2 linked regions of the Caenorhabditis elegans genome follow. The protein of the gene in region 2 interacts with the protein of the main gene of each other region in a pairwise test. Each region holds a gene or a part of one and is shown on either strand. Other genes may lie near its edges. The genes, in order: nhr-49 and nhr-76.

Region 1 (15,637 bases), on a different chromosome or scaffold from region 2:
TCATAAGCTATGAATGATACTAACACCTCTCGGAAATAGTTTCTCTTTGAAACTGACTCAAATTTTGCGAGACTCTTTTTTAACCGGATCATACTTTTTTAAACGGCAGAACAAATTTGCATTAACTAGATGAGCACCTTTATGATAATCAGTCTGAACATCTAGGTCTAGCCATCACAAAAAAAGACCGAGAATGCGTAATTCCAAATTGTTCGGTGGAAGAAAATGCATGATTCTTAGTACGCTTGGTCAGGTAATTCACTACGTTCTTGAAAACTTACTTGGTTCAATAGATAAACCACCAGCAGAAGCAGATCTATCATAGTCGTCACCGTAACTTTTATCTTCCAAAATCTCTCTGATTGTTGCATGTCCTAAAAATATATCCTATAAAAGAATATAATTCAAGTTCTACTAACCTGATTCTTGTAAAAACTGATCCCACATTGTATCAACAATATCCGTACACATAAGAATACCAGAATGTATTGTAATCATTCGTAACACGAAAATTCCATCGATTTTTATATAGTCACGAACAAACTGTAATTTTATTTTTATCTATAGAAGCCTTTCCCAACACTCTTACCTCATCAAGTTCTTGTTTGAATCGGCTTTTTTCGAAATTAACATCAGCCAATTCTAGTCTTCTAGCAATAAATTGTCTTCGTTGATTAAATGGAATTGATGCAAAAATCCATGAGAGTATGGATCCAAAGGAAATTAGAGATAACATGGTGTACCAGAGCCATAGAATGAAAAATATCTGGAGATATCGGTTTTTATCATTAGAAGAAGTTTTTAATGTTGATTTACCTTTTCTGTAAAAATATTGATAACAAGAACACACTGGACAGTATGTCGTTGTACATGTCCAAGTATTCTAATCTGCATATCACAATATGTTACGACGGGGAAATTTGAAGATTCTTTCCATCCTTTTCCCATTATCAAATCATAAAATATTCCATAACCGTAATATCGATGAGAGTCAAGTTCCAAGAATCTGCTCATGAAATACATCTGGAATTGTAAATTTATATAAGAGTTGCCAGCTGAAAATGGAAAAAAAGATTAAAAGTCTACCTGAGTCAGCACATTCATCAGAAATAAGCATTTTATTGCTAGATACAAGTAGGTCAGATATGATTCGTAGTAGCGAACGTTGAAAATTCGGAATACCCTGAAAATTACCATTTTCCAAATAATAAATTCCAAGAAAAAAACAGACTTATGATGGTAGGGATGCTTCTCTCCAATTCTGAATCGATGTTTAAAAACGGATGACAAATGAGCTGAAAGTCCACGAATATTTGCAGTTCGTTGAGTTGGAACCACATTTGCTTTGTCGTTTGCAAATCCCATAATATCTTTGAGTCGAATTCCTGATTTGTCATAGAAAAGTCGCCATATTAAGCATGGCGCATAGAAGCTGAAAGCCACGTAGACAAGGAAGAAGGGCACCCATTGATAATATGATACCTGGAAAATTGTGGTTATAGGAAAGAATGGAACATTGTAATTTTTCAATTTTATTGGCGATGGTATACAAAAAATTGTGAAGCTCCCAAATAAGGTGGAACTTACCATGGTATACTCCCTGTTAACAACTTCAGGAAGATTATCGTCCTCAAAAGCAGTAACGTATGTGTTCCGAGCCCAGCAGTACATTTCTGAATTAAATATTAATTTGTTAGATTATTTTTATTACCTGTATAATCTTCCCAACTACTCTTGTATTCTGCGGGAAGCCAGCATTCAATAGGTCGTCCTCCGAACATTTTAAGTGATATTAAAACCTGAAAAAGTTTTGCAATAAAACAATCTTCAATTATCACTCACAGCAGTTAAAAGCAAAAATGTTGTTGTATAATAGTAGTGTAATCTGTCAAATATGTCATCATCTGCTTGTGGTTGGAGGAATGAGAGAGTTCCCACTATTTCAGCGAAAACCATTCTGAAAATATAGGATCTTAAGAGGTACTTTAACAGTCACAAAAGTCAGGAGATGCAGAAATATTTAGAAAGAAGTTTACAGTGAGATCATTAATGAATTGATGATTTCACCAGGCCATTACAGTTAAAACAGTACTTGTATGAGTTTTAATTATGTTTTGAAATTTCAAAAACGCCAAAACCACTGATCCTAAACATACTCCACAAAGGGCAATTGTCAAAACTTGTCTTCCAGTCGTGTTTTAAATTTTGGTAATAATTTTCTGCAAATTTATGAGAACATCATATCAGAACTAGCGGAAAACTGAAATAAAACAGGCCTGCCTGCCATTGCAATTTAAAACAAACTTTCAACTTTCGATACCTTGGAACACGTGCACCAGGTGAACCACCCGTCTTATTAGAAGAAGCGGAATGTTGGGGAAGTGCTTGAGCGTCCATCGGTGGAGGGGGAAAACAGAACTCTTATTCCATAATAATAATAATAAAACAATACACACCGAATAGTAGATGTATTCAATTACAGTTTGTATAAGCCAAAGTTGGGTTACAATAACTTGTGAGAATAGAAACTGAAGAATAGTTTCCGAAGAATGTTTGAGGAATCAAGGTTGGCAGCAGTAAGTGCCAACAGAAATGTGGATTTTCCCACCGTTTTGTCATGATTGCACAGTTTCACGCGTACTCTCAAGATCATTCAAGTTCGAGTAAAAAATGGGGAGAATGCGACAGTTTTTTTGAACTCGGTGAGCTGCACAAGATTTTTTAGATTTTTTTTTGAAATTTCAAAGATCTTCGCGAGAAGACTATAGTTACATAGACTCGCAATGATACAAAATTTGAACGCTCAGTTAATTAAACTATGAGAAATGTCTGATTTTGTTGAGATCCGCAGATAAGACATGGGCGAGAACATTGAGAAAGCTTTGCTTTTAATAGAATTTACTTGAAAATTGAAACAATTGCTAAACTCTGAAGACTAGATCCACAATGTTGATGTTTAGTGAATATATGAGTGATGGACAATGACTCAATTCAAATATTAAGCCATGTCTACAGTTCTATATTTGAAAACTTGTTTGAACTGATTTTTAATAGTTTTTGAATGATTTCTGTATATATTAGATGATGTGATAGTTTTGACTGTTGTTTTATGGACGACAGTCATGAATTCAATAGTGTAGGTCAGAAAACGATCATCGTATAGTTAAAGTTGCACAGTGTGTAATACAGATGTTAACCCTACAACTACTACAGTAATACTGTCAACTTCTACAGTAATACTGCCACAAATTTTATGTATTGGTGAAAAATATTGAGACATGAATCCCGCAAATACTAGAACCTTAAATAAATATTTTCGGGCTAACTGTCCTACATTTTTACGGATTTACAATATTCTCTATAACTTGAAAAATTAATTTCTTTTGAGGTCTAGGAACAAATAAAGATTGAGTATAGAAAAAAGTGAATTGATAGACATGTAATGATGTATGCCTAGGTCTCACCACGATGGATTTTATTCCAAATTGAAGCCACAAAAATGTGTGCGCCTTTAAGTAGTACAGTAACCAACTTTCCCGAAGTTAACCTTTTCTTCAATTTTTGAAAATTTCTCTCAAGTTCTTAATAGAATTTTCTCTTAAAAATGATTGAAAACTGAAACAAGTTGTTACGGTACTTTTTAAAGGTTCACATTTGATTTTAAGAACAGATCTTAAAGAAAGATAAAATGTTGACCGTTTTGAAATCTACTACTAATTGTTAGTTACCAAATTCTTGTCTCAGAATGGAAAGAATATCAAAAAACCAAAACAAGCAACCCAAAAAAACTAAATAAAATGTCCAAAACTGGCTGAAGTGTATGTGCTCCAAGAGGTGTGAACTCACCCACCTAAGCCTAAATGCTCACAATTTCTTCATCTTCCCTCTTCCAATAGACATATCATCACTTTTACCCCGTTATGTACACTGTTCGGATCATTGAATTGATCTCAAGTGTCTTGGGAAATGGTCATATATCCACTATCATTTAGATGATCGTGTCAATTGAAATCAAAACAAAAATCATCAATTTGAAGAGTTTTAGAGAAATAAACAATTTAAAAAAATCTAATTTTGAAAAAAAAAACTAAAAAGCTCAGCTTCACCTCCAGCAGCTCACACCAGGTGCTCAAACATTTGGAAAACAATACTTTTTGTAAATTCTTCTAAATTTCTAAATTGCAATAAAACTTACGGTCTTGGTGGAGGTGGTGGAGGACGTGGCATTGAACTTCTCGAGTGAATTCATAATGATGAGTCAATTGTGTTTATTTGATACGAATAATAAAATATGGTATAATAATGTATTTTATCGATGAGCTTTGAAAAAGTATAAATAAAAGTTTCTTTTTGCAAACATAAATTGGTACGAACGCTTGAAAAGAAGGAAGGAAAATGGGAAGAAGGGAATCTTCTAAATAGAGATGGGAAATGCCAAGACAGTCACTTCTTATACATATTGAAGTACTAAACTGATAATTTGATTGACAATAATAATCACAAGAATAAACGAGAGCCAGCCCGTCTGGAAAAAAGATTAAGGAAGAAGAGTTGGGGGAGACGAGAACAATAACCTGATATGATATAGAGATGGCCTAGACAGGTTTCAAGATGAAACAACTACTGAGACGGAAGGGTATTCTTCTTTTGTTATGTACATTATAGCTGGGCTCTGGACTATTTTATAAATTGGGGGTAATGATTCAAAACAACAATAAGGGAAAAGATGAAAGATCACAGATTCGGAATAGAACTGGAGATGAGATGAGGTGAAGAGTTTTGGGAGAAAAAATGGAATTATTAGAGCATATGATTATTCTGCTCACTGTTCAAAATGGAATCTTGTGATTGGAGAGGATGAATTGCCAATGGAGCTGCAAGAGTTGCTGAGAGCATTCCAGTTGGTGTAATTCCAGAAACAGACGAAACACTTCCCACTGATCCGGCTGGATTTAACGGAGATACCTGAAAAATATGAATTTTGAAATGGAAGATCTTTTTTAAAAAGAGAATTTTACGGTTTTTCCCTGAAATCATTGGCCGTTTTCGCTATTTTTGTATTTTTTTAGAATAAAAAGTTTAATAAAATAATTAAAAACAAACCCCATTAGTCGGTAACGTTGTCGGAGATGAAAGATGTTGCTGTAAAGAGACCGGAGCCGTCGAATGATCATTGATGTCGTCGAGAATGAACTCGGAGAGCAGAGAATCCACCTGAAGCTATCATTTATGTACGGATTCAAACAAGAAAAGCTTTCATACCTCTGCCAATCCGAAGAACTTTGTAAGTGTCATATTCTCAATGAGCAGCTGAGTCAGAGCCTTGAGAGCCGGTGCCAACAACAAAATATTTCCATATCTTGTGGGTGCGTCATCTGGCATCTGATCGAGAATGAATGCATAAAGAGCTTTCAAAACACGATTTCTAGCATCACGAATCATAATCTGTGAGCTATTCGAGAGTCCTTTGGCTTCTGGGTGCAAGAATGCAAGTGCTTTCAAACATACAAATTCTTGTTCTCTCATCTGAAGTTGTCGCATTGGCCAGACAATTTCATCAAGAACTCTGGGTGTTATATTGCTTGTTTTGAATGCAGCAAATCCATTGAGGTCAGTGTTATTGTCACGTGTCATATAAGTATTGTTGAAGAGACAAACTCGAGTTGTATCGGGACTTCGAAATGCTGGCATCAAAATGAGATGTTGTGGTGCATAGTTTTTCAGTAGAATGATCTTATCTTCCATCGAAAGATCCATGAATGGATTAATTGTTTTTGCCCATTCAACCATCAATAAAAGTGTTGTCCTGGAGATTTCATTCAGATCCTGAAAATAAAACAATGTGACCTCTTAATTTACGTACCATCCAACTCACTACCTCGGTTGTGCATGGCCGGTTTGGTGGTGCAAATGCCGATGCTCCAGAATCACTTCCTTGTTGAATATCTGTGTCATTTCCATTCGACCCCCCACTGCCGTTTGCAAAGATTTGCGATCTTCGGTATCGATTACACATCTCTTGATTGACACGAGCCTCCATCTCCATTAAAGCATCAATGACACTGCTGGATTGTGGAACTGTTCGCATATTCTCTTGTCCCATACCGTTTGATCCGACACCGTTGCTGTTTCCGTTCTCGTATCCGGGGCTTCTGTCTTTTTTGAATGGAGTCCCGTTGAGACTGGCTCCAGATGTTGGTGAACCTACAGGATCACGTTCGAATTGAATAGCTGAAATATATTAAATTGTAGAATTGATCGTGGATGTGATTCAGATGATAGAACATGGACCTGAATGACAGAAAATAGTTGTTAAAATTTGTATTTTTGAATTCCCACGAAAATGAATGAAATATAATTATAGTTTACTATATTTTCGACATTTTTGCGTTTTTCGGTAATGTTTATTGTGGCTTTGTTTCAATATAATTTTTTGGTAAATTTAAAAAAAAAGAAATCATTCAAAATTTAATACAATTTTTAACAGTTATGTTCTGTCATTATGACTCTATTTCTTCTTTAAAATAACGAATTAAACATGAAAAAACATCCAAATTTTAAACGTATGTAGAATTAGATACGATATTTTGCTCCAAAATTATTTTTTCTAGATAGAAAACTACGAAACAATTTTTTTTTAGAAATATCGTGTTTTGAAATGGAATCTACGGACAGGAAAAGGAAAGAAAGAAGAATATATTCTAAATTCTGAGTTAACGGGGCAAATTTCCGAATCAATATCTCAAGTTAGAATCTTTTTTGCGGCCGATCTCATTTCACGGACGAAATTGAAAAGAGGTCACTGGTGAAAAACATGAGGCCACTGTGTTTTGGATATATTCAAATATTGAACGGAAAGAGAAATGAATACCTTCTCGTTTCATTCCAACTTGTACACACTTTTGAAAGCGACAATAACGACACGCGCATCGAAAGTTTTTGTCAATCACACATCTTTTGTTGAAACGGCAAGTGAACTTCTGATCACGAAGAACTGTTCGGCGGAAGAATCCCTGAAATTCATGAGTTTTATTAATGCGGGATAAATCATTAAAAAGTTCGAGATGATAATCATAACTTTCAAAAACCAGTTAAATTAATACGAACTTTTGCAACCATAAAGTACAGTACTCGGTCTCGTCACGAACAATATGTTTTCAAATAAAGCATGCGCGAAAAGCGTGGGTTACTGTAGGTGGAGTCAATATTACTTTGCTTTAAAGTGAGGAAATTGTTTTTTAAAAACTACTCCTGTGGTACCAAAGTTAACAAAAAAAGTTAGAAAATTTTTATTGACAGTAAAAACTGGCAATTACAGTTTTTGCCACTTTTTGAGAAAACTATAGCCCTGTCGCTTATCGAATCCCTATAGTGTTTGATTATTAATATTTGAAACATAAGTAGTCCATAAAATTATAAGGAAACAATTTTTTTGATCAACGACTTCCAAAAGTGGCAAAAACTGAGATTTTTCATTTTTCAAAAAAGGAAAAAATATAATTTCCAAAATCATTTTTCGTGACGAGAACTGAATTTATAATTTCACATAATTCTAAATATAATTTATTTTTTATTATTTTATAATTTATCCCTTCTCACCTTACACCCGTTGCAGGAAATGACTCCATAATGGGTTCCAGTTGATTTGTCACCACAAACGGCACATGGTTCCGCAAGAGGATCTACTAGGTCCATGACTGAAACAATTAAACTTTTTACAACAAAAAAAACAAATGAAACACGAAAAAAACCAAACAACAGATAGCAACGCAAGTTTTCAAAGTGAAAGAGAAACGACGAATGTCACTTGTTCATGGAAACGATGAAATAGTGTTGGAGGTAGAGAGAGTGTCAGACGAGTAGAGAAATCAGAGTCAATGCAATGGCTTTAACACATGATAGACACACAAGAAATAAGACAAAATTTAATATAAGTATTGATAAGCCTAATGTAAAATGTCCTGACGATACGGTGGATTAAAAAAAACGATTTGCCGTATCTATTGCAAATCGACTATGACGTCATAGTGTTTCAATGGTGTCTTTAGGAGTGGAACGCATGTTGTCTTAATAATAAAGGACCGGCAAGTGCACACAATTGAGATGCATTGACCACTAGGCAGATGAATGGGCCGCGTTCAGAAATTGTAGGTTTTATATTAGACCTTATTGGTGAGGATGTGGAGATAATTCAGCAGCATATAATTAGAATTTCCACTGCTAGAAGGACAAACTTGGTACTTTCAATTTATTGTTTCTGAATATAGAACAATTTTGAACGTATATTCAAAAAGACCGAAGCTCATGTAGAATGTTTTTCAATAAAGTATCCTAATCGAGTCCAATAAAAGTAGAAATTTGAACATTGAAAGGGCAAGCCGAAACTTGATAGCTCGGAAATTTCGAGCCTCCCAGTTTAGCAGATGTAGTGTAGGACTAAACGTGTTGCTATTGTAGCGAAAGTAGAGAAGATTGAGAAATCATCCGTCTTGAGCAAACAAAAGGAAACGCGAAGATCAGAAAAGGACTGATGTGGCACACTCTAAAACTGGTCGATGTGTTCGGCAAGATTCCAGTAGTCTTTCTCTCTCTCTGCTCACTCCAATGAGGTATTCTTAAATGCGGATGCTATTTCAAAGTCTTCTTGATCAATCTTGTCCGACGGATCGAATAAGATAGACGGTCGCGCTAAGTAGTGTCGTTCCTTTTCTCTCCAAGATCGTAAGATCTATATCTAAGGAGCGAGGAGATGTAATGCATCGAATAAGTGACCGACGAGGATCCAGTTGTAGGGTTTGGTAAATTCTGGTAGAAAATGAGGAGACACATCGAAGAATGACGTTCTAAGAGAAAGGGCATTTGAATTACTTTAGAACTTTTAGAAGAGCCAGGTTAATAAACTCAAAAATGTACATATTATTTGAACGTATAAAAATCCATATATACCCATATAGTGGACTTTGCAAAGAAGCCATCCAAAAATCATTCTATTAATTTCTGGATTTCAATGAGCAAGTCGCTGATTGGTTTTGTAGTTCTCAGTTTGGTGGAAAATTCAAAAAGGCATGAAAGTCGATATTTTAAAAGTTGACTTTCTTTCAATGTCGCTTGATGTGTCCGTTATAAAACTTACTTACAATCATCTGAAGATTCTTCATCAATTTGATTCAACTGAATATGTTTAGAAGCATCAAGAAAGTAGTCCATATCGTGAGAACGGAATGAGTTGACTAACAAAATGATGAGTATATACAAGGAGTTTGCGAATCACCCCATATAAACAGGAAGTGAGAGACTACATTATGTAGTTCAGTGTTGTTCGATGCCCCGTACTTTGTACTCTCAAAGCTAATTGGGACCGGCGTCGTCTCATTTAAAGTCAGTCATTAAATCTATGAACTTTTGATTGTGGAAAAAAGCTGAACTACTGGCAAACAGAAAGGAAACGAAAAAAAAAGAAAAGAAAATGGTGAAAAAGAAGAAGAAGCTAAAGCTGGCAGGCCAGTCGGTTAGAAGGACAAAAAAGAGACAGTGGTTGGTCAAACATGTCGAGAAATATGAAAAACTAGAGAGAATGGAGTTGACAGAGACACCAAACAACGACAGCCAACCACCCACAGCACGTTGACAATCGATAACAGGAGAGGCGCAGACCTTTAGAGATGAATAGATGAAAAGAGGTAGAGAAAGATTGTAAGAAAGTTCCTCTCGACCCTCTCTCCCGTACTACGCTATACCCATCAGGTCGTTGACACCACCACACGTGAATGAAACAGTGTTAACCGAGTGAAATTAAAATGTTTCAGATATGCCTTATATGATAAGTTAACATTTTTGGAGCAAATATTTTCGAAAAGTTCAAATTGATGATTTCAATTTAATTATTTCTTTGAAAAAAACGAACAAAAAAAAACAAGTAAAACAATCAACAAGATTAAAATGTGTCAAAACCGGAAATTCAAACAACAAAAAATATCACGAAACTAAAAAAAAATTATTTATTCTTTTTCAAATTCCTCTGCTTCTCCGCCGACTCCACAATCAGGTCCTCGGTTGGCAGTCCTTTACGTCTTCTAACTGCATCCATATATCCTCTTGCATGATTCGGACTGTCTCCCTTCAATCCGAATTCTTCAATTTCTTCCAATGTAGACGGCGTCCAGTAAGGATCCTCGTCAATGACTTGCCAGTGAGAAAATTGAAGTTGAGCAGAAGCCATTCCAGATGTGAACTTGCGAAGTTGATCACAGAAAGAGAACGATTCGACGACGGGCATTAGGGAGACCACTTCGAATAAATTTGTAGCTTCATTGATGTCCTCGGAGAGTACCTGAATTCAAAATTATTTTTTATTTAAAATTTAGTATTTATACAACGCCATTAAAGTAATAGTCAAAATTCGAAATTTTTGAAACAAAATGCTCATATAAATGAGATTGGATATACCGTATTTATTTGTTTAATCGGCACACTAAACCATAAAATCTATTTAGATTATAGTTGGAAAGAAGATTCATTCATTATATTCTCTCCATATATACGTTATTTGCACAGATGCGTCGAAAATTACAAAAATTAAATACTTCGTTCACATGCTCAATGGGCAAATCACATTAAATATTGACATGGATTTCAGGTTTATATTCGAAAACAAAAAAAAGGAAATTTTCGAAGCCGAAAAATTGAAAAAAAAGGAAAGTTTTGTAAATTTGAAATTATATATTGAAAAACTTAAATATTTTGGTCAAAATTTAACTTTTCATAATTTCGAGTGTCATTTTTAGAGCTATATCAGAATATTTCGGATTTTTTTTTCGGAAAAAAAATTAAAAATTAATTTTTTGTAAATTTGAAATTTTATTTTGAAAACTTGAATATTTTCATCGAAATCGCACTCTTTCTAAATTTTCTAGTGTTTTTTTTTTTTGAAAACATGTAAAATTTAAATTTATCAGTTATCAGGATTTTCGGTTTTTAAAATAGAATCGTTTTTTTTCTTCAAAAAAGCGAAAAATCTACTGCCCTGATGGATATAAATATTTAAATTTATAATCTCTAACTATATTTGAAAATGTTCTACAATTCTCCATTCCTACTTTCGATTTTCTTTGTGACAAAACGGCATGAACTTTTCCCAATGCCTGACTGGCTGTAGTTACAGTACACCGGTACATGGCAGCGACAAGGCGGAGTGCAAGTTTTTTAGCAGCAGCAGAGCATGAAGCTTTTATTGCAGTCATCATTTGTCCTCCAATAGCTCCATCTTCTTCATCAACATTCCATTCTTCAACAATAACTGCTATTCCGTGCATAATTTCATTGCAAAGTGGTCCAGTATTACAGAATAATTCAAATCCAGCGACAAGTGCTTGATCATATCTTCTAACACCAAATTCTGTTTTTCTCCAAACGGAATCTCTATCATAATTTTGAACATTATTGAATAGAATATTGGCTCTTGCTCTTTCTGGTCCAAATGCCCAAATTTGATCAATCATTGATTCAATCACTTCCTTCGGTTTTCGAAACCACCAAGATCCTTTCAATGTTGGAAGCGTTTCCAGACAAACGGATGTAAATCTTTTTTGGAACTCATCAATTTCGGTTTGATCGGCTTCTCCTCGACGAATCGATGAAATTAACGAAGAATTTTTGTCGAGCAACTGAAAAATTGAAGGTTCCTCGGCAAATCGCCGCAACTTATCCACCAACTTTAGCAACTTTAGAAATGCCAAGTGCAAAAGTTGCTAAATTTTGGTAAAAAAGTTGCTAAAGTTGGGCAAAATAGGTTAAAGTTGGGGATGCCCTCAAAATTTGCACTGAAAATTTTTCTAGAATTGGCTAAACTTGGTTAAAAAGTTGCTAAAATTGGTGGATAAGTTGCAAAACGCTAAAATTGGCGCTTAAGTTGCTAAAGTTGGTGTAAAAGTTGTGACGAAATGCCGAGTTCGTTGAGGATTTTGATTTAAATTATACATATAAAATTTCTCTGAAATGCATAATAACCTGAGAATTTTAAATTAAAAAAAATGTTCTCCAATAATTTCATTTCAATTCGGCAAAATTCCGCTTTGCTTCCTTTTTTCCCATTTATTATATTTTTATCGAATTTTTTAGATAACTTTGAAACCTTTCAAAACCAAGGGTGTCGGGTTTTTCCGATATTTTGATTTTTTTTTTGATTTTTCGAAAAATAGCTCGAAACTATTTATTGGTAATTATACCTTTTTTTAATTATACGTTTTCTGATGTTTCATTTTTTGAACTTTCGTTTTTCGATTTTTCGATTTTTCCTGAAAAATCGATACCGGTTAAAAAATTTTTTATTTTGCGGAGTGTTTTTTTTTCATTTTCAAAGAAAATTAGAACAAAAAAAGAAAATTTGGTCGCGTTACAGTAACCATCATGCGATTTTTTAATTCAAAAATGTTTCCGAATTAATTTTTTTCGCAATTTTTTAATTTTTTAAAAAGTACTAAATAATTTTCCTAATTTTAGACTATGTTTTTACAATTCAAAAAATTTCAAAAAAAAGTCCTAACCTCGACAACGGCATCTCCCAATGGAACAACTCTCAATTTGATATATAAAGCTTCTCGAATACGGCATTCGGTCTCTTGTTCAATAATTTGTGGTGCTGAGAGTACAGAATCTTCAATTACAGTCTCCATAAATGGAACAATTGGTTCAGAGACATCTAAATCCACAAGTCCCAAATCATTTAAATCCTTGATACATTTTTGTAAATGTACTTCTCCAGCTGTCACCATTGCTAATTCTCCATTTTCCAATTCCATCACTTTCAGACTTGTATCAAGTAGAGCTAATAATTTCAATTTTTCTCTTAAATCGTCCATATCATCCAATTGTTGAGTACTGATCGAAACTCTAACCAAAGCTTCTCCAGTTTGAGATCCAATTTTGAGACAAGGGAAATCCGGTTTCTCACAGAGAGTAGTATTTTGTAATAGAATTTCTGCATCAATAGTACAAATCATTCCTGATGTTACTGTATCGGTTGGAATTGAATCACGACCACGAAGAATTGAAATTCGATCGATTTTTGTAGAAGTCACTTCGCTGCTATTCTGAAAAAATATTTTTTCAAATTAAAAACAATTTTGAAAGATTTTTTTAGGACATAATTTCAAACAGGTTCCGAAAAAAATGCCAATATCAGACAATCTTCAAAAAAAATCAAAAATTATTTTATTAGAGATAATGTTTGTAGGAACCTATTTAACATGTTATTTTTTAAATATTAATTTAATTTATTTGGGTTTTAAAATATCGGAAAACCGAAAATGTTCGTTTTTCAATTTTTTTTTATTTTTTTTTTGATTTTCCGATAATTTGGGAAACAAACGATTTTCCAAAAGAAAAACAATAAAAAGTTGTTCCTTTTTAAAACAAAAAACATAGTCTTGTCTGAACATGCTTTTTTTCAATTTTTCTATTGACTCTGGAAAACCAAAAAAAAAAGAAAATTTTGTATTTTTTTTGTGACACCTTGGTAGGCATAGCTTTTTTTTTTTGGAAAAATTGTTTCCTTTTTCGTTCAGAGAAAAACTCGAATTTTAATAATTTCCGCTCATTTTTTTCATTGAAATTTTTTGAATTATTTTTACATCAAAATCAAGATATATTTGCTACATCTTTAATTCTTGTAATTTGCGAATAATATTTTTCAACATTTTTTTAAATTAGAAAAATCGAAAAATTAATTTTTTTTAATTCTCTAATAATTTATTTCGAGGAAAAATAAAATGAAAACAGTAAATTTTTCTAATTTTCTTCCCAAAATTATTCCAATTTCGATTCTTCGAATATTCTAAGAAATAAAACTCACATTTTGTTGTTGAAGGACGTATAAAGTGTCTCCTTTACGCAGTGTCCCACTGAGAACACGACAAATTGCTCTACGAGAAGTGAGATTTTTGTCTTCTGTCTGAAGAAGTTTCACAACAAAAACCAGTGTCATTGCTTCAGGATTACATTCGAGAACGAATTTTCTTAATGGATGATCCAGACGATGACCTGTCAGATGATCCAATCGATGTTGAGTATCAAATGTTGATCTAACATTTGGAGCTCTTGCTACTGCTCTGAAACTTGCTTTTGGAAGTGGCAACCAAGTTCTCATAAGTTCGTCGAAAGCTTCATTGGCTCTTCTGGATTTTAAATTAATTCCAAGCTTTTTTGCAGCTTCGGCAAGCTTGGTAGCATCATTTTCAACAAGTCCAAGATCGTGAATTCTCCAAAGTGGTTCTAAAACGATTCTTTCGAACAGTGTTGCCTTATTCTTAACTGCTGCTCCATCTCTGATAGACCCAGTCGAATCAATCCAAAAATCTCCGAACATTGCAGGAAGTAATGCCGATTTTTCTACTTTCATTTTTTCAGCAGCTATTTGAGCAAAGTCTTCGCATCCAAAAGCGTATGAATGAAGTGCTGATGAGAAAATAACATTTCCTTTTGCAGGATCAAAATGAAGTTTTGCTTCCGATTCTTCGATATTTCCCCATGTATCATCTTCTAATACAATTCCTCCAAGAACCTGACTAATGCAACTATTGACTCCTTCAATAAGACGAGACATATGTTGATATGCTTCACTTGACGACATTTTCAGTTCAACTCTCAATCGATCGATTTTATTGATAACAAGAATCATTGCTTGACCATTTCTGATAACTTGACGAATAAGAGCTTCTGTTTGTGAGCAAATTCCTTCAATAACATCAATCAACAGAAGTGCAATATCGGAAAGAATCAATGCTGACGTCACTTCTCCAGAAAAATCCACGTGTCCCGGACTATCAATGAGATTGATGAGAAGTGGCTCACAGAGCAAACTGATTCCACTGGATTTCATAGTAATTCCACGTGTTTGTTCATCTTCTCGACTGTCCATATAACGTAATTTTCCCGCCATTCGACCTGAAAATTTAGATAATCGTTGTCGAGTTAGACATTTTTAAAGTTTTTACTAGAAATAACAGCATTGGCTGAAACCAGAGAATCTGCAAAACTGGTTTTTCCATGATCCACGTGAGCGACAAGACAGACATTTCGGATATGCTCAGCGGGTTTCTGCAATTTTTTACATAAATTTTCAAAATAGCTTTAAATTTTGGTCATTTTCCTTTTTTTTTAAATACATTTATATGTATACTTACGTTTTTTTACTCATCAACGTATAAAAAAATGTGAGGAAACTTAAAAATCGTCGGTTAAATTCTTTTTTTTTTATTATAAAAATTTTAATCTAAAAAAGTCCTCACCGTTGCCGCTGCCTGTTTTAAAGCTGTTTCAAGGCTTTCCATTGCGTCAGTCTGAAATAAAATATCTGAAAATCTGTAATAGCAATTTAAGAAATATGCGAGAATTTTGAATACTCCAGAGATCTAGAGTAACAATATTGAAAACATTTAATTATTAATTTTTATTTGATTTTATGATGTTTTTGATCTTTCGTGAGGGTTTTTGCAATATAATTCATAATTTGGAGAAAAAAAGAAATACAGTTTTTGAGATGGAGAAACAGAGAAAAAGGGAGAACTGTAGAGGCATGCAGGAGGTTTTCAAAATGTACATAATTTTGGGGTTTTAAGTTGGAAAAATAAGAGTAATACCC
Region 2 (17,019 bases):
AGTTTTTAAGCATTAAGCCCATAAGTCTTAGAGTTATTTTTTGATATGAACATATATAAAACAAAGAACACAGCATATATCAAAAAGAATAAAAAATCACAGAAAATGAAAGAACACTTTTTTAAAAATATGAATATATATATTTCTGCCTCCATATTGAAAGGGAACATTTTTTGTGGCGGCGGTCTACCGACCAATTTGGTTGCCAATTTGTGTAATTTGTGCTTCCAATTTATGTTGTTTGTGACTGAAAAACCAATAGATTCAGACCGGACTTCTGACTCAGAAAAAGGAAAGGTGAAAAAGGTTTAGCTCAACTGTGAAATTCGGCGAAATTGGCAAATTGTGGTTTTTTGCCGGAAAATCAAGAAAATCGACAATTTGTCCATATTTCGAAATTTACCGTAACATCTAAAAATGTATGTATATTTTTAAATTCATCTACCAAAAAAATGTTCAAAAATTCAGCAAAAAGTTATTTTCAAAATTTCGGTTCGGAAACCCGGCAATTTGCCAAAAAATTGAATTTTCCGGCAAATCGGCAACTGTGCAAATTGCTCGCTTTAGGCCCGTCGGCAACTTGTCACATTGCACTTTTTCCAATTTTTGGCAAAATTGGCAGTTTACCAAAATTTAAATCGTCTGGCAAGTTGAGAACTCGTAAAAATGTCCGATTTTTACAAATTTTAATTCAAAAAAAATCCATGAAAATTGGCGGAAACGTTTGGTCAGAATTAAAAAAACAACGGAATCAAATTTCTAGGCCAGCTGAAACAAAATGAAACTAAAGAAGCAAAAGTTTTTGTAAACAGTTAAAAAAATACCGATTACCTTGAAAATTTTAAGTTTGACTTTACCATGCCTGCCTGCCTACCTGCCTACATACCATTAATGCTCACGTGTTCTATAGCAAGCAGGACCTATAACAGTACCTACAAATATCGTTTATAAATTGGAATTTTTTTTTCCTTTAAAAATCCAACAAATGATGTACTAGCATAGTTGTATATATCATCAGAAATGTTCAAAAACAATTTTTTTGCAAAATTCCTAATAAATGGAATATATATGGACCTTTTTGCAAGACACCACAGAATAAACATTTAGTGGAAAAATAGAAATCCGCAAAAATAGAAATGACGTCAATTATTTTCTATTTTGAATAGACTCTCTGCTTTCCATCTGGGGCCCACTACTTAGACCACGAGGTGTGTAAATATTTCATTTTCTTTTAACGAATGCAAAATGAAGGTGGGAAACAAATGGTCATGCGGTGTTGGTCGACTAAAATTGGAACTTTATAGGGTTATTCAGAGAGAATATGTGATTTTATGGATATTTCATGTTCGAATTTTCCCGGCGAATGAAGTGGTTTTGGGTCAAACTGTGTTTGAAAATTTTTTTTTAACTTGGGGTAAAAGCTCAAAAGTCTGAAATTTGAAAAATTAACTTTGGAAATTTTTAGGGAATTAAAGGAAAGATTGAGAGGAGAAAAAATATTGAAATTTTTTGAAACATTTAAATTTAAATTTCCCTTCAAATAAAAAAAAATTAATTAGAATTTTTAGAACAATTTTTTTTTTGAAAATTTGAATCTTGAAATTCTCGCAAATTATTTTCATAAGTTTAAATTTAACTGTTCCTTCGAAAAAAAATTAAACTTTTTTTCTTAATTTTTGTCTCCTAAATTTTTTTTTGAAAATTTAAATTTGAATATCACATCAAATTTTTTTGGAGAAAAACTTTCAATTTCCCGAAAATTTGAACAAATTTAGAAATAAATTTTAATTTGAAATTTATTAGAAAAACTTGAATATCCCATCAAAAATTATCGAAAAAGTTGAAATTGAGTTTCCCGGTAAATAGTTGAAAGATCAAATTTTGAGATCCCCGCCGATGTTTTTAAATAGTTCGAGTAAGATATTTTCTATTTTTCTATAACCTTTTTTAAAAATTTGTATTTGAATTTCGTGCTAATTTATTCTGAAAAAATTGTTTTAAAAATTGAAACCAACAATGCAATTTTGAAGCATTTTCACATTTTTAAAGCAAAAATTTATCCAAAATTCATAAAAATAAAGCAAAATTTGCTGACATTTTTCTCTGCAAAATGGAATACAAAACACCTATTCTCCGTTCTGGGAAAATCATTAGTGAAAAGCGTGAGAATCAAGGAATAAAAGCAAGTGACGTGGAGTTTTGGAAATGGTTTTTGTTATTTTCCGAACGACTTGACTGGAATTTTAAATGTGTCATTTTTGCAGAACAAATACACAAAAAAAATAAAATGAAATCATAATTGAAAAGGCGTTCTGAGGACACAAAAACACAATAAAGAGACTTTTAAATCGGAGATCAAATATGACTACATCATATCTGTAAAGCTTTTATGAAAGGCAGGCACGACCTTAGGCCTGCCTACTTGCCTACATACCTGCCTGATTTTGTAAACGATGTGATTATCATCTACAGTATACCTTGAAAACCTTGGAAAATCTCAAAAACCGACGACCTCTTTTTTTGTGTTGATGCCAACAAACAGGTCACAAGCCACTTGGGAATAATTGAATTTTTTTTGATATTCGAGATTCTTGAGAAAAGGGAAGAAAGTTGTATAGAACGATGAATTCTGAAAAGAAAACTCAAAAATAAAACAACAAAAGCGGAAGGAATTAGTGTGGAGAAAAATCGGTTCGCTTCGTTCAAACAAACAACAATACCCACTTATTTTGTTGTTTTTTTGTTTTTTTTTTGCAACAAAAAATTGTTCTTTTTTGTTTTCTACTCTAAAAGTGTTCGAAGCTCTTGAATAGCAAAACAGAAACAGACGGAGCACACATTTTCACTGAGTGCTCAATTATGCATTTTTTTTTTGCGGCCATGTGGAAATACGGTGAGAATACGGGAGACACGGGGAGGGGTGTGACGTCAATTGGAGGATAATTCAAAATTAGAGGTTATTGCGTCGTTTGACTTTGAATTTTGACACAGAATTTTGCAAGAGAAAAGAAAAAAAACGAGGTTAAGACTTTCCGGAAAATTTCAGAAATTCGTCGAGCTTTCAGAAAGTTCTTGAGAGTTTGCAAATGTTTCCAAAGGTTTTCAGAAGTCTCCAGAAGCCTTGAGAAAGTTTCTGGAAGTTTCCGAATTCCTAAAAAGTGCCTAGAAGCTTCCAAAAATTTCTAGAACTTTCCAGGATTTTTTAAACATTCTTCAAGAACTTTTCAAAACTTGCAAAACTTTTCAGAAATGTTTCGAAGTTTCCAGAAATCTTCCCAATATTTCCAGAACTTTTATAGAGTTTCCTGAACGTTCTTGAAAAGCCTCGATATCAAAAATAAAATTCAAAAAGTTCCCAGTAGTTCTTTGAAATTTCAATAAAATTTGAAAAGTTTTCAAAGTTTTTCAAATCCGCCAGAAAATTTCAGAAACTTCCGAAACTTTCAATAAGTTTCCAAAGACTTTAAACATTTTTCAGGAAATTTTTGAACTTTCCAGAAGATTCAAAAAATTCAAGAGATTCCTGAAGCTTTCTGAAATTTCCCAAAAGCGCCTGAAATTATACGGGGTTCGCAACTCATGTAAAAAAACGCAGGCTGATGGAAGGCACGAGAAAGGCGTAGGAAGCCTACATGATGCCTGTACATATGATGTTCCAATAGAAAAATGGTGTGCTGAAAATTAGCTGTCTTTGTTTCCAAAAATTGGCTGCCATGGTAAACTACTTGTAGCTTTTTGCATTTCTGCAACATTTTTTGCAAAAGTATAAAGTTCAGAATACGCAAAAAAAAAAACGAAAAGTAAAACATAAATTATAAATATTTATTACAATTTCTTTTGAAACTTTAAAACTAGCGAATCAATTTCTAGCGAAAAGTATTTTCTAGCGGGCTGGGTATTCTATGTACAACTGCAGGACATTTTGGGGTTACGTGAACGCGAGATCATCAATTAATTTATCATATTCCATCACATTGAACACACGAATCACGTGAAAATTTTCACGGTGAACTGCCATCGCATTGCGGACGGCTGTCAGAAGAAGCAACGTGTTGCCCACGAGAAGACCAGCCTGGAAACTAGAAGAGGATGAGAGAGCGTAGGTGAGGAGGAGAGCGCAGAGAAAACATCTAGGTGCTCAGCGGCCTCTCCGCTGTTTCAGAATAAGAGAAGTATCTAGATTTTTCCAGAAATATTTTGACTTTTCTAGGGATGAATGGTCAATGAATGATCGAAAATCTTACAGAAATTTTGATCGAAATCGTTTCAAGATTTTTCAAAATTTCCAGAAAGCCTTTTTAGATTGTTGTTGAAATTTTCAAATAGGTGGTCCAGAATAGTTCAGTTTTTGTAGAACTTACCAAAAATCCCAGAAACTTTTCAAATATTTTCGAAATCTCTAGAAAGTTCTAACACATTTAAAGGTGGTGTACACTGCAACTTTTTCCTCACGAGGGACGAGGAAAAGTGGTTTCTAGACCATGGCCGAGGGGCCGACAAGTTTCAGCGGCCATTTATGTTGCTTTGTTTTCCGCGTGTTTTCTTTTGTTTTGCACCAATTTTTCCCGTTTTTTCTTATTAAAACTAATAAATAAATATTTTTTGCAGATGCTAAAACAATTTCCAAGTGAAAAAAGTCTGTATTGAGTCGGTAAGTAGCGGTGAAAGTGCTCAATGTAATATGATGGATTACGGGAATACAAAACCTAAACTTTTTCCCAAACATGATACATACGCTGCTTAAATGCTGAAACTACCTGATTTTCATAACGAGACAGCTAAAAAAATTTTGAGGTTTTCAAAATTCAACTTTTTTGGTGAAAAAGTAGAGATTTTCGCATAAAATGTTGAATTTTAAAAATCTCAAAACTTTTTCAGCGGTCTCGTTATGAAAATCAGGTAGTTTCAGCATCTAAGCAGCATATTTATCATGTTTGGAAAAAAGTTTAGGTTTAGTATTCCCGTAATCCATCATATAACATTGACCACTTTCACCGCTACTTGCCGACTGAATACATAATTTTTTCATCTGGAAATTATATTAGCATTGGCAAAAAATATTTATTTATCAGTTTTAATAAGAAAAAACGGGAAAAATCGGTGAAAAACACAAGAAAACAAAGCAAGTACAAAATGTCGTTATATGCGGTGTATTGTGTGCAAACACCGATTTTTTGCATTTTTTCTAGGCCCCCGTTTGAAAAAAGTTGCAGTGGTGTAGTCCAATTTTTTAATTGCTTTTTTTTTAAATTTTTTTAACCAAATCTTGCCGTCCATCGACTTTGAAACAACTAAATGAAGTTGGAAACGCGCAAGATAATTACATTGTGTACTTAAAATTTGACGGTGATTTCAAAAAAAAAATTGTTTCCAGCCGCTGTGACATTGACAAGTTGGTCAAATTTACAATTTTAACAAATGTTAGGCCATTTTTTGAGACGCCATAACTTTTTTTTGAAAAGTTTCCAAGAAGTTTCATTTTGAAATTCGGTGTTTTCAGACAATTTTGATTTTCATAAACGTTCAGAACAAACCAGAATCTTCTAGAAAATTTAAGATCACGAAATTTTTAAATGAAGGATGCTTCTCTACCTCATGTGGGTCTATCCCCTGTTTCGCATAAAACTCGAACCAATCCTTCATCACCCGATTTCTGGCCATCACTACGGCGTTACGACTCGCGTCCGATAAGTTATCAGCGGCTGAAATTGCACTTTCAATTGACACCTCTCTTCCAGACAGCACTAACCTGTATTGAATAACAATATTGCAAAAAGAGCACAAAACTCGGTGTCTGTCATTCTAGAGTGCTCTAACGCGGATCCAAGTTCGTTCAAACACGACCGCAGCGGGTCGTAGAGCAGTTTCAGACACGTTTCCTTGTCCATGACAGACTCGGTGATTTGTGTGAATTCGTCGTCGAATTGAGCACCATGATCACTCAAATCCGTGTAGGACCCGTCCGGAGCAATTAGTCTGAAATCGAGAAAAGTTTTGCAGAGAGTAGAACAATTCTGATGCTCTCAAGAAAATGCGAGAAAAATTGTGATGAAATCTGGAGTATTCTAAAATTGAAAATTCGAAAAATTAAAAAATTTTATATTTTCGATTTTTTAAAGAAAATTCGGTCAAATTTTTTAGGTAATTTTTTTTTGAAATTTTGTTGAATTGAAAAGTTGAAAAATCGAAAAAAATGGAGATTTTTTCCTTTAATTTATTTTTCAAAAAAAAAAATGACCAGAATTGTTGAATTGCAATTTCCGAAAAAATGTTGAGAGTTTTTTAGAATTTTCAAGAATGGTTCAAAAAATCCTCGAACGTCCTGGAACCTTTTTTGGAAAATTTGAGATCACTTTCAAGTATTCTGCGACGCTCTAGAAAACACTAAATGTTTTTGGAAACGTGAAACAACTTTTGGAATTTTCTGAAAAATGGTACATATTGGAAAATGCCAGGAAATTCTGACATGTTCTGAGAACTCTGGATCTTCCTGAGCATTTCTAGAAATTCCTGGAAAGTTATATAAATTTTTGAATATTCTGGAACTCTCTAGAAATAGCATAGAATGTTCAGGGACTTTTTAGAAACAAATTTTTTGGAATATTCGGAAACTTTCTCGTAAGTTTGACATGACCTAGACCTTTCAAAAAATTCTAAAAATATCTGGGCATTACTGAAACTGTCTGGAACGCTCTGGAAAATTCTGGAATGTAAAGGTCTCTAGAAAATCGAAATATTTTTAGAAATATCGAGAAAGTTGTGGAATTTTTCGAAAACAATTTTTTCCTAAAACTAGAGTTATCCTACAGTAGCCATAGAGTACTAGAAAAGTACCCTAACAATAAAAATAAAATGCAAAGCCCTACTTTTGAGTTCTCAACCCATCATATTTCACAGAAATATAATATTTCTCCAGCATGGCCAATGACACAGCACATCCCTTGACTAATGTCTCCTTGGTATCCAGGTCCATCTGTCGGAACACGCTCATTGAATTCATCATCTCCACGTACAAAACCAACTCAAATCGCATTTTTTCCTTGTAATATCGTTCGTCAAATCTCGTTGGTCGCATCTTCTGAAATCCGAAAGAAATTGCTAAAAAGAAGCCATAGTTAGTACAGTAATTACTAAGCCGGTGCCTCCGAGCATCTCGCGAAGTGATCCGTTACAGTAGAACATTCGACGTCGCTCCACAGAGTTTTTGTATAGTGCGGCAAGGGTTTCGATGTAGTTTTCGCCGGGAATTTCTGAACTTTGGATGAGTTGGGATGGGTTGGAATTAAAGAAGCATGGGAAGGATCAGGTTTTAAAAAAGGATGAGAGAAGCAGGTTCAGACTGTTGGGCATCACGCTCGCCTTTTCATCGACTTGCAGCCGACAGCCAACAACGGGCTCGTGAACCGCAAGGTGTCGGCCGCAGGATTTACAGAGGGCGGGCGTGGTGCCCCATTTTCGTACTCACCTTTTGGAGCAACTGGAAGTGGTTCATTACATGTGCTCGTACTGGATATCCAACTACCCGGAGTTGCAGCAGAGAACAGAATATCGTCGAGCTTCTCCTTTTTATCCTCCTCCTCGGCTTCCTGAATCATTTCTGCTGGGGACCGTGGCTTGATCGAGTCTCGAAGGTTTTGGACGCCTGGAATCGGAAATTATTTTATTTGTGCCGACCTGCCTACATGTCTACGCGCCTGCCTACCGACTATCTGCCTGCCAATCAAAGTGAATGCTTGCCAGCCTATCAGCCGTTCAAAGGCCTACATACCTATGTGTCTGACTGTCTACCTTCGAGTTAAATTTATGCGCCCGTCATTTTCAGGGACACAGTCTTACTGTGATGTTAAGCAGCTTAATAGGTGAATCTTTACAGGTAGGCAGGCCATACCGTACCTACAATTAGGCGCTCTCACTTTTTTGCGCCCTCTCCCCCTAGACAGATTCCATCTTCTCGACAAGAACAACTCATATTTCAGAGATCAAAATCTCCGAATTCTCGAAAAAAAAGTTTACTTACTGCTCGGATTCATCCCCATATCGATACACCTTACGTATCGGCATGCTCGACAATTTGATCGGTGTCCTGAAACAAGGAAGTTGATTTTTTTTGTCATTTTTGTCAAATTTGCTTGATTTGTACAAATTTTTTCGAGTACGCACCACTACTATTACTACTGATAAGCAGAACACACGGGGCTTTTACATAATTTTACCCCGATAAAATTGTTTGTCTGTCTAGCAATTTTCGTTCGATAGAATAGAGTTTTGTTTTCTGGTGACTAGAAATCGAATACTGTAAGTGTTCAATTCATAGTTGAATAGACAAAAAAGTGAGAGAAAGAGAAAAAGGGAAATATATATTGAAAATTGAATCATGTTGCCGTTATCGACACAATTGGCCACATTTGGAAATAGAACATGGGAAATTGGGAAATGAAATTGGAACGAAGCAATGCCAGACAAACCAAAAAGTTAATCGAAAATTTTGGATACATGCCAAAATGCCAAAAAAAATTTTCTCACAAATTATTTGTTTCTAGTTTTTTTTTAAAGTTTCGTGCTAGACTTGAATTGAAATTAGGCACAGTTATGCCTACGCACATAGCTACCTGCCTGCCTTTTTGCGAACCTGCCTATTCAACTTTGTGCTCTGAATTTTACAAAAAAAAAAGCTAGAATTCAAAAATTTGCCCTTTATTCCCAGAGGAATATGTTATAGTTGCAAAATAATAGTTGCAACAGTTGCAATCAATTTCCATGTCAAGTTGGATGTACATACCTTTACCTTTTGCCAACAATGCAACCTACCTCCCTGCCTGCCTATTGGGCAACCTAGGCCTACCACCTGCCTACGGAAATGTAATTATTGCTCACTTAAAAGGAGAAATACGTAAATCTACACTGTAAATACACAGGCAAAACTGCGACCTAGGCCTACCTCGTACCTACATACGTCCATAAATGTTTTGCTCATTTTCTTACACAAACGTTTGGAAATCTACACCGTGTAAACCGCCAATAATCAGAAAATAGACAGCTAGGAAGACAGGTAGCCAAGTAATAAAAATTGCCTACCTACTGTAGACTCCTTACTATAAAAACTAGTATTCACTCAGGCAGGCATGTTGGCATGTAGGCGTGCCTGCCTACTATTCGAGTCTAGTAAAGTCATAGGATTATTGTAGTTGTTCACTAAAGTTTAAAAATTGTTCTAGAATCCGGTTATCAAATTCACTTTTTCATATCTCTCACGTTTGCCGAAGCTGGTCAAAGTCTACAAAAAGGAGGCCCCACGAAAAGGGGAGCAGAACGAAAAGGGGATCTGCAAAAAGGGGATCTGCGAAAAGGGGAGATACGAAAAGGGGAGATACGAAAAGGGGAGCAACGAAAAGGGGATCTGGCACTGTGCCAAATGCTATTTTTCTCGAAGAAAACGATACAACGATGCTCCGATGTTACGCGTCGCGTGTTGTTAAGCGTATCTTCCAGAAGAAAATTTCAAAAATCAACGTGCGTTGCGTGAGAAAAATTGCGTTTTGTGCGTTTGGCACAGTGCCAGCTCCCCTTTTTGTTGCTCCCCTTTTCGTAACTCCCCTTTTCGTATCTCCCCTTTTCGCAGATCCCCTTTTTGCAGATCCCCTTTTCGTTCTGCTCCCTTTTCGTGGGGCCTCACAAAAAGGGTACGGTAAAAAATGAACTAACGTCTATCCAGCGGACACAGCGAGTTGCCAACTGGATCCCTCCTACAGTAGTACCTCCTCGAAAGCACTACGGTACGTCGAAAAAACGCTGAACAAGCGGCACACGCAATACACCCAAAATGGTATCCACTGGAGTTGGGGTTCTTGCACACCGCACACTCTTTCTTCTCTGAAGCCGAGGAGCACGATGATGTGGATGGTGGTGATGATATAGCTGATGGTGGAGATGGCTTCATATAGGCGTTGGGATTTGATGAGTGTGGGAAGGAAGGAGGTACTGAAGGTGTTGTGGTGGAGGATGAAGGCGTCTCGAAGGGGTACCCGGTGAGCTGGAAAAGTTCTGATCGAGTAAGTTATAGTTTTGGCACAACATTTATTGTATCTAGGTGCGCCGGTTTAGTCTAGCCGAGAATCGGCTTCTGAGCCAAGCCGGTATTCTAAAAAAAACCGGCAGTAGCTCACCTGTCCAGCACCATTCAGCTTCATCATGGCCAACACCTTCTGCTTCCCGAGCACCTCCATTTTGCTAACTAATCTGAAATAATTTGAAAATTTTAATTAAAAAAAAATTTTATTTGAAGAAAGAAAACATATCAAATAATTACAAAATACGGTTATTGTAAAATAAAAGTAACGAACGATATGAGTAATCGGAAGAAACCTGCCAGTTGGGGAAGTATGAGGAAGTTTTCCGGGTTACTGTAGGTCAGGGAAAATGTTGTGAGGCACGAGGTAGGCGTAGGCCGTCTTAAAGTAGGCAGGTAGCCAAATCTCCAATTCATGAAAATTTCATATGAATTTCATATTTGATACACATGTGGTATGATAATTATCAAAAAAAATTATCAAAAAAAGTGATTGACATATATTTACAGCGGATATTTTATTATTATTCTTAGGCGGCCTACGCCTACCTTATGCCTATGATTTTCAAAAAATCAATTGAGATTGGAAATTGCAAACAAAGGTAATAAGGTAGTAGGTAGGCAGGCATGAAAACATGCATGCCGAAAATTAAAATGTTATTAGAATTTTTAAATTTTGTGAAATATCCTAACTATAGGAATAATTCCAAAAGTGAATTTAAGGCCTGTGCCTGCCTGAAACCTGCCTGCCTTTATCTGCATTTAGAATTGAATTTAGAAGTTGAAAGTTTCCTCATCTCAATCGATTTGTTGAAAACAAAGTTAAGAAAGGAGCAATGAATTGGCAAGTGTTTTAGCGGAAGGCGCAAGGCACGCGAAAGTCACCTTAAGGGGAGGCAGGTAGGTACGCATTAGAAGCCTGTATGGAAACTCTAGTTTGCGTAAAATTTTTATTCAGAAACACCAATGTTGAAAAATATGAACTTTAAGCTTCAGAATTTCAGAACCATTTATCTTAAAACTTGGGAAACTTTTGGGAAACTAAATATTTTTTGTAAATATTTTTCCAAAAGCAGTATTAATCACATTCTAAACTGCTAGATAGTGTTAATTTGCAATCGAAACTTGACAAGATAAGTGATCATCAGAAACTTGGGAAAACAGATGCGAAATGTTGCGAGCGGCAGAGAAGGGAGACGGGCGAACAAGTGATATCGAACAAAAAAGCAAAAAAAAACGAAGGAAAAAATAGGAAAAATAGAACGACCGGCAGACGCAGACAGTTTGGGTAGGGAGAAGGAGTGGCTAACTGTCAAGTTTTTCGGTTTTCAAAAAATGAATGACATCTTGCACTTTCCCCCTGCATCCTTCTATCAAAAGTGCACACACTTGTTTATGTGTTTGGTTTGAGAACATTTTTTTTAAATTGTAATCAGAATGAATTGAAAAGAATCGGAATCGGCAACATATTTCTATCTCTTAGTGGTTTTTTTTTCGTTCGTGTTATGTTTCTTTTCCGCTCTCTTTTCAAAGTGCAAGTTGCCGGCCGTCAGAGGCGGGGTTAGGCGGGGGCAGTCTGCCTAGACAGAGAAACATCAGGAAAAGAAAGAAAGAGTTTGATACTTGTTTATTGGTTAAAAAAAAAATGAAAAATTGGATGAGGATTTGGCGGGGCGAACACAAGTTCGGAGATCACACGAGTATTTTGAATTTTAAAAATATTAAAAAATAAATCCTACCCTCGTACCACTTTCACAGCTGATAGATATCTCGGCTCCCTTTGATTTTATCAAAAAATTGTCAACGGACAAGATATGTGCGAAATATTTTTCTAGATTTTCAAAGTAAACGTTTTTTCGATTCCGGCAAATCGGCAAATCGGTAAACTGCCAAATTGCCGATTAGCCGAAAATTTTTGGAAAATTGTGGTTTTGTACTTCTTTTTGGAATTCCCAGAATTTCAATTTTAAAAGGCAAAATTGTATACATCTTATGAATGTTCCTACATCTATTTTGAAAAGTAAGCAAATTCTATGAAAACATTCAAAGGAAACGGGACGAACATTTCAAAAAGGCACAGTTTTAAGTTTTTCCGTTTTATAAAAAATCCCTCTAATTGTAAATTTTTTTTTTGCAAGGAAAATTGGCAATTTGCCGAATATCAAAATTTGCGACAAATCGGCAAACTGCCCGGAATGAAAATTTCCGGCAAATCGGCCAAGCGGCAATTTTCCGAATTGCCTAACTGCAAATGCCGCCACGATTCGGAGGGTGCAAGTCCTAATAGAGATCATTAAAGTTAAATTCTACGTTTTATAGAAATTTATATCAATTTGTATCCAAAAAAGGCGCGGTAAAGCGTTCTACTTCCCAATTTCAGAAACATCACGAAGAATTTTGTTACTAGTTTGTTGTTTCAGTTTTACAACTCCAGATGTACAAAATATGTGTTCGAAATTGTAACATGGGTGTGGAGAGTGAGTGTTCTGATTCATTGTTGCTTTTTTAACGCTGTTAGATGGTAAGAGTTACATGGTAGGCAGGTGTCATGACTACGTATCCAACGTATGCTTACTATCCTAGGTGCCTGACTACCTAATATAAAAATTTGAACATTACTTTTTGCTTTGAGATTGCTAAAAATGAGAAAAATGAGATAGGCAGACATTGATAGCTTCGAAGACAGGCGGGCAGACGTTGATCGCCTTGGAGGCAGGTAGGCAGGCATAGGTCGCCTTGAAAGTAGGCTGGCAGTCATAGGTCGTTATTAAATCCAGGATCGTCTTGGAGGCAGGTAAGTAGGCATTTTGTGCTCCGTAAAATAACAATTTCTTCTCAAAAAAAAAACAACCAAATACATTTAGAAAGTCTGATTCAAAATCATCAAAAAAGGGATCAATCCATAAAAGCAGAACGATTGGATGGAAAGTTGATCAGGCAACAAAGGCTATGTCAAAGACGCTCCCGTAGAATAATTTGAAGATAAGAATCTTCCCGTCTCACGGGAAGAAAGGGGAGTGAGATTGTACGAAGTTTGATACATTTGTTTGGATATACGGATGTACTTGAACTCTTGGACGGAAAGAACGACAACATTTCTTTTGTAAAAAAATATTTTTAGCAAGGCTTTGTTAGGTACGAATTTATGGCAATGAGTATCTCATGACGACCTGCCTAGCTCATGCCTGCGTGCCTAGCCTAGCTCACTCCTGATGTGAGTTTATTTTCTGACCCCTACCAGACTGTTTCTGTGCCTATACATCACACCTTCTGCCTAGTTGCCTGCATGAGTGCCTACTTCATGCCTACGTTAACGGTTCACGTGCACAGTATAGTTATCCTCCACTCTCACCTCCGCCATTTAATAGTTCCACACGCGCATCTATGATTTGTCGGTACACAGCTCAGGACTGCCCCTACCCTCTCCTCCATTCAGTATCGCTTCTTCGGCTTATTAGCTAAGATCAAAGTGTAGTATCTGTTCTTATCGTATTAACCTACGGTATACACTCAAATGAGTGTAATAAAGGTTATATGATTTTTGGAACCCTGGGAAGACTCGGGGCTTGCTTCGACTTCCCAAGGGTCGTCCTGGCGTTGCACTTCTGCCGGGCTCGGCCCAGTCCCCGTGGGGACTAAAATAAGCTTGCAAAGTGTCAATAAAGCTATCAAGTACCTCCGTCATTTGAAAAATAATCAATGAAATTTGTAACTACACAGAATTTAGCAGCAGAGGAGCACCTTCATTTTTAAAAAATCGATCTGAAATTTTTTAGCTACATGAAACATTTCCATTAAAAAACAAACAATTTCAGGGCTAGGACTCAAGTTTCAGCACGACTCCCAGACAACGCCAAAGAGCCCGAAAAAGTTGCAGCTAATTTTTATAAAGATTTTTAAATTAAAAGATTTATAAATTAGGTGTAGGGAGGTGGTAGGCGTAGGTTGCCTTCCAGCCTGGTATGCATATGTGTGCCTATGATTAAATTTAAAGTGTTTCCTGACTTTTGACCTATTTATTTACTCGCCAGAGTTTCTTTTTGAATCATCGGACACAATAAAAACTGTAGCAACACAATTGTGCCGTTGTCCTTGCACACATTTTGCCCACTAACAAATAATGATCATTTGGCTCATACATATAGTCACTCACAAATACGTCAACGATCTATTTGTTGGTGCTGACTAAGACGGGAGAGTTCAACTAAAAAACATCAGACAACAAACGGAGTGAGAGAACGGAACTCGGTGAGCAATTCCTGAGCACCTGATCAAATGGTTTATTAGCCGGAATTTTGCACAGGTTTTTGTGTAGAAGGAAATTGGCTAAAGTTATACTACTGTCTGGTCAAACTCGAACAGTTTGTTGACAATTTTTAGCCTGCCTGCATACAAGGTTCCCTACTTTATGTATGTGTCCTGCTCCAACTAGTAAGGCTAACCACTCACAAAATGACATCGCAACCCGCAAACCGTCGGGCGCAGTAGAAAACTGATATATTGAATAGGCTCTTACGACTTAGCACTACCCAAGGAATGCACGTAGGTAGGCGAACAGGCCGGCACGAGGGCCTAACATTCAACTATACGATAAGTCGCGAAACCCAGAAAATGTCGGGCGTTCGTCTAGTAAATTAAATTTCGTAAATCTTCTCTAATCCAAATTCTAAATTCGAATAGATGAGCGACAGGCTTGAACGTAGGTAGGCAGTCGTATAGAAGGGCTTGCTCAGAGGTAGACTCAAAAAATGTGAAGAAGGGAAATTGCCGGATGCAAACGCGACTGAATAGGCGGTAGGCATGCAGGCAGGCAGGCACAAGTGCGAAATCCTTCGGTGACTTCAAAGTTTGAAGAGAACAAAAGTTCTAACACACCTTTCTGATTTCCAGAGGGCTATAATTTTCAGGCCTATAATTTCAGAGTCAAGAGCAATTTCGCAACATTAAGATTCTTCTAATTCAAATGTTGCCACAAAAATGTGGCAACATTTGAGTATTGCTTTTTCTGCGTCTTCTTCTTCTTCTCACCCCTCTCTATGAGCAATTGAACACGAAAGTTAAAACAACAATTGGCACGTCTCCAAACATTCAGACATTTCTTAACTTTTGAGAATGTACAGAGGGGGTACAAAGACTATTCAGAAACATGGAAAACTATATAGATATATAAGAATGAGGATATGAAGAGAAAAGATAGCAAAAGTGACGGATAGAATGGATCGGATTATGACGATCAGTGAACACAAAGGTACATTGCGAGGGGGATGTTGGAATGAAAAAATTGCTTCTATTTTGATCTTTTGACATTTCTTCTATTATTTCTGTTTAATAGACTAGACTTTGGATATATATTAAAAGATTAGGATTCGAAAGAAAAACTGTTCGGAATTTGTGTTTTAATCAGGTGCGGGGTGAAGGCTGTTCATTCAACAGGACATTCCAAGCAGATATGCCAAAGTTCTTTTTTGAAAATGCCTCATAGAAATATAGAAAATTATTTGTAGTTTTTGAAAATAATTTTATTTTTTGAAAAAACTCTCCTGAAGTTACTCAAAAAAAAAAACTCAAATATCAATGTGCCGATTAGTGGATCCATTGTACTTTTGAGACATTTTTTGAGCAACTTATCAAAACTTTTTACTTTTTTTACTTTTGTAATCGCAGCTTCTTCTTCTCAGGTCTTTCCTAACTACAAAAAAGTAAACTTTTTTCTAGCGCTGCATATTGAATTTTTTTACAATAAAAAAATTTTTCAACACAATTTCAACACAAATTCTTCGTTTTTCTGAAGACTTTCAATTTAAAAATTAGGTTCTATGACTATTAAAATATTTAATTTGTGTCAAAATTTTTTTTTCATAATTCCCGCAAGATTTATCGTGGTGTTCTGAATTTTCTTTAAAAAAAAACAAAGAATTTGCATTAAAATTGGTGGACACGGGGTTCTGGCCTCCCTCATTGAATTTTTCGCGCTCCATTGACAATCGCGCGCCGGACAACGCGTGGGAAAGTTGTGTACTTCACACGGACAAATACATTTAGTTTTACAACTAAAATCAAGCCGCGACGCGACACGCAACTCGCCGTAAATCTACCCCAGATGTGGCCGGGCCAAAATGGCCTAGTTCGGCAAACTCTTCCATTTCAATTTATGAGGGAAGCTAGAAATCCGTGATTGGAAAAGAGTGCCAACGCGCGGCAATTCAAATGAATAAAGATCAGCCAAAATTTGCGATTTTTCGTTTTTTTTCTGTAGTACCTAGGCATTTTTGACAATAAAATTTTATAGATAAAGTTCAAAAAGTCGGCTCCCAGGAATCCCAAACATTTTTAGAAAACAATAACAACTACTAAAGAAACTTGATCAACAAAACAGAAACAATATTTGCGAGGCACTCCAATCACTACTAACCGTTCAAAAACGTAACGAGAGATTAGAGACGGAGACATCACAAATACTGGTCTATTGCTCTTCTCTCTTCCCTTTTTGCCACTCGAGATCATACTAAAAACAAAAAAAAGCGTATGGTTGCGTGTATGTAGGATGGTATGAGTAATACCCACAATGTTTGTTTGAGCGATTGATAATTGAAGGAGCAAAACTGATTAGATTCGCCGAGATTACCTTAGTGTTCTCCGGAAGTCAAGATTTTTGAGTGACGTCACGAAAACTTTCCACGCGTGACGTCACACTCATGTGAGTAGGCAGGGGAGGCAACCTCGCTCCACTGCAAAAATGCTTCTCACAGTTTACTGGTGAAAGCGAAGTGTTTTTCTTAAATATATACATTTATTGAGGTAGAAAAATGTTCAGATTTTTCATATAAAGAAAGAGATTACACAATTGAAATATATATATAAATCATGCAAAATCCTGAGTTTTCGAACGAATCATCATTTTCTCTGTGTGTACAATTTTACAAAATTAAGTTTACACATATTTACAAAATCTT

Evidence for each region.
Region 1: the proteins of nhr-76 (region 2) and nhr-49 interact in a two-hybrid assay, tested with the Caenorhabditis elegans proteins (4 studies listed by BioGRID).

What each region holds. Positions count from the first base shown.
Region 1 is NC_003279.8:9,863,288-9,878,924, reverse strand, and holds nhr-49 (Nuclear hormone receptor family member nhr-49), read right to left. Parts: upstream 9,208-15,637; coding exon 9,138-9,207; coding exon of another isoform or gene 9,134-9,137; intron 7,698-9,133; coding exon 7,600-7,697; intron 7,014-7,599; coding exon 6,872-7,013; intron 6,232-6,871; coding exon 5,876-6,231; intron 5,827-5,875; coding exon 5,263-5,826; intron 5,215-5,262; coding exon 5,104-5,214; intron 4,966-5,103; coding exon 4,801-4,965; downstream 1-4,800. Other genes in the region: inx-20 (Innexin), read right to left, coding at 282-374, 420-543, 590-766, 817-1,023, 1,087-1,183, 1,232-1,482, 1,588-1,673, 1,712-1,799 and 2 more; K10C3.5 (Elongation factor-like 1), read right to left, coding at 9,995-10,330, 11,097-11,663, 12,543-13,088, 13,850-14,940, 14,991-15,093, 15,285-15,326.
Region 2 is NC_003282.8:620,754-637,772, reverse strand, and holds nhr-76 (Nuclear hormone receptor family member nhr-76), read right to left. Parts: upstream 10,237-17,019; 5' UTR 10,224-10,236; coding exon 10,164-10,223; intron 10,031-10,163; coding exon 9,703-10,030; intron 8,084-9,702; coding exon 8,018-8,083; intron 7,643-8,017; coding exon 7,466-7,642; intron 7,251-7,465; coding exon 7,132-7,250; intron 7,079-7,131; coding exon 6,867-7,078; intron 5,977-6,866; coding exon 5,750-5,976; intron 5,703-5,749; coding exon 5,593-5,702; intron 4,073-5,592; coding exon 3,929-4,072; 3' UTR 3,810-3,928; downstream 1-3,809.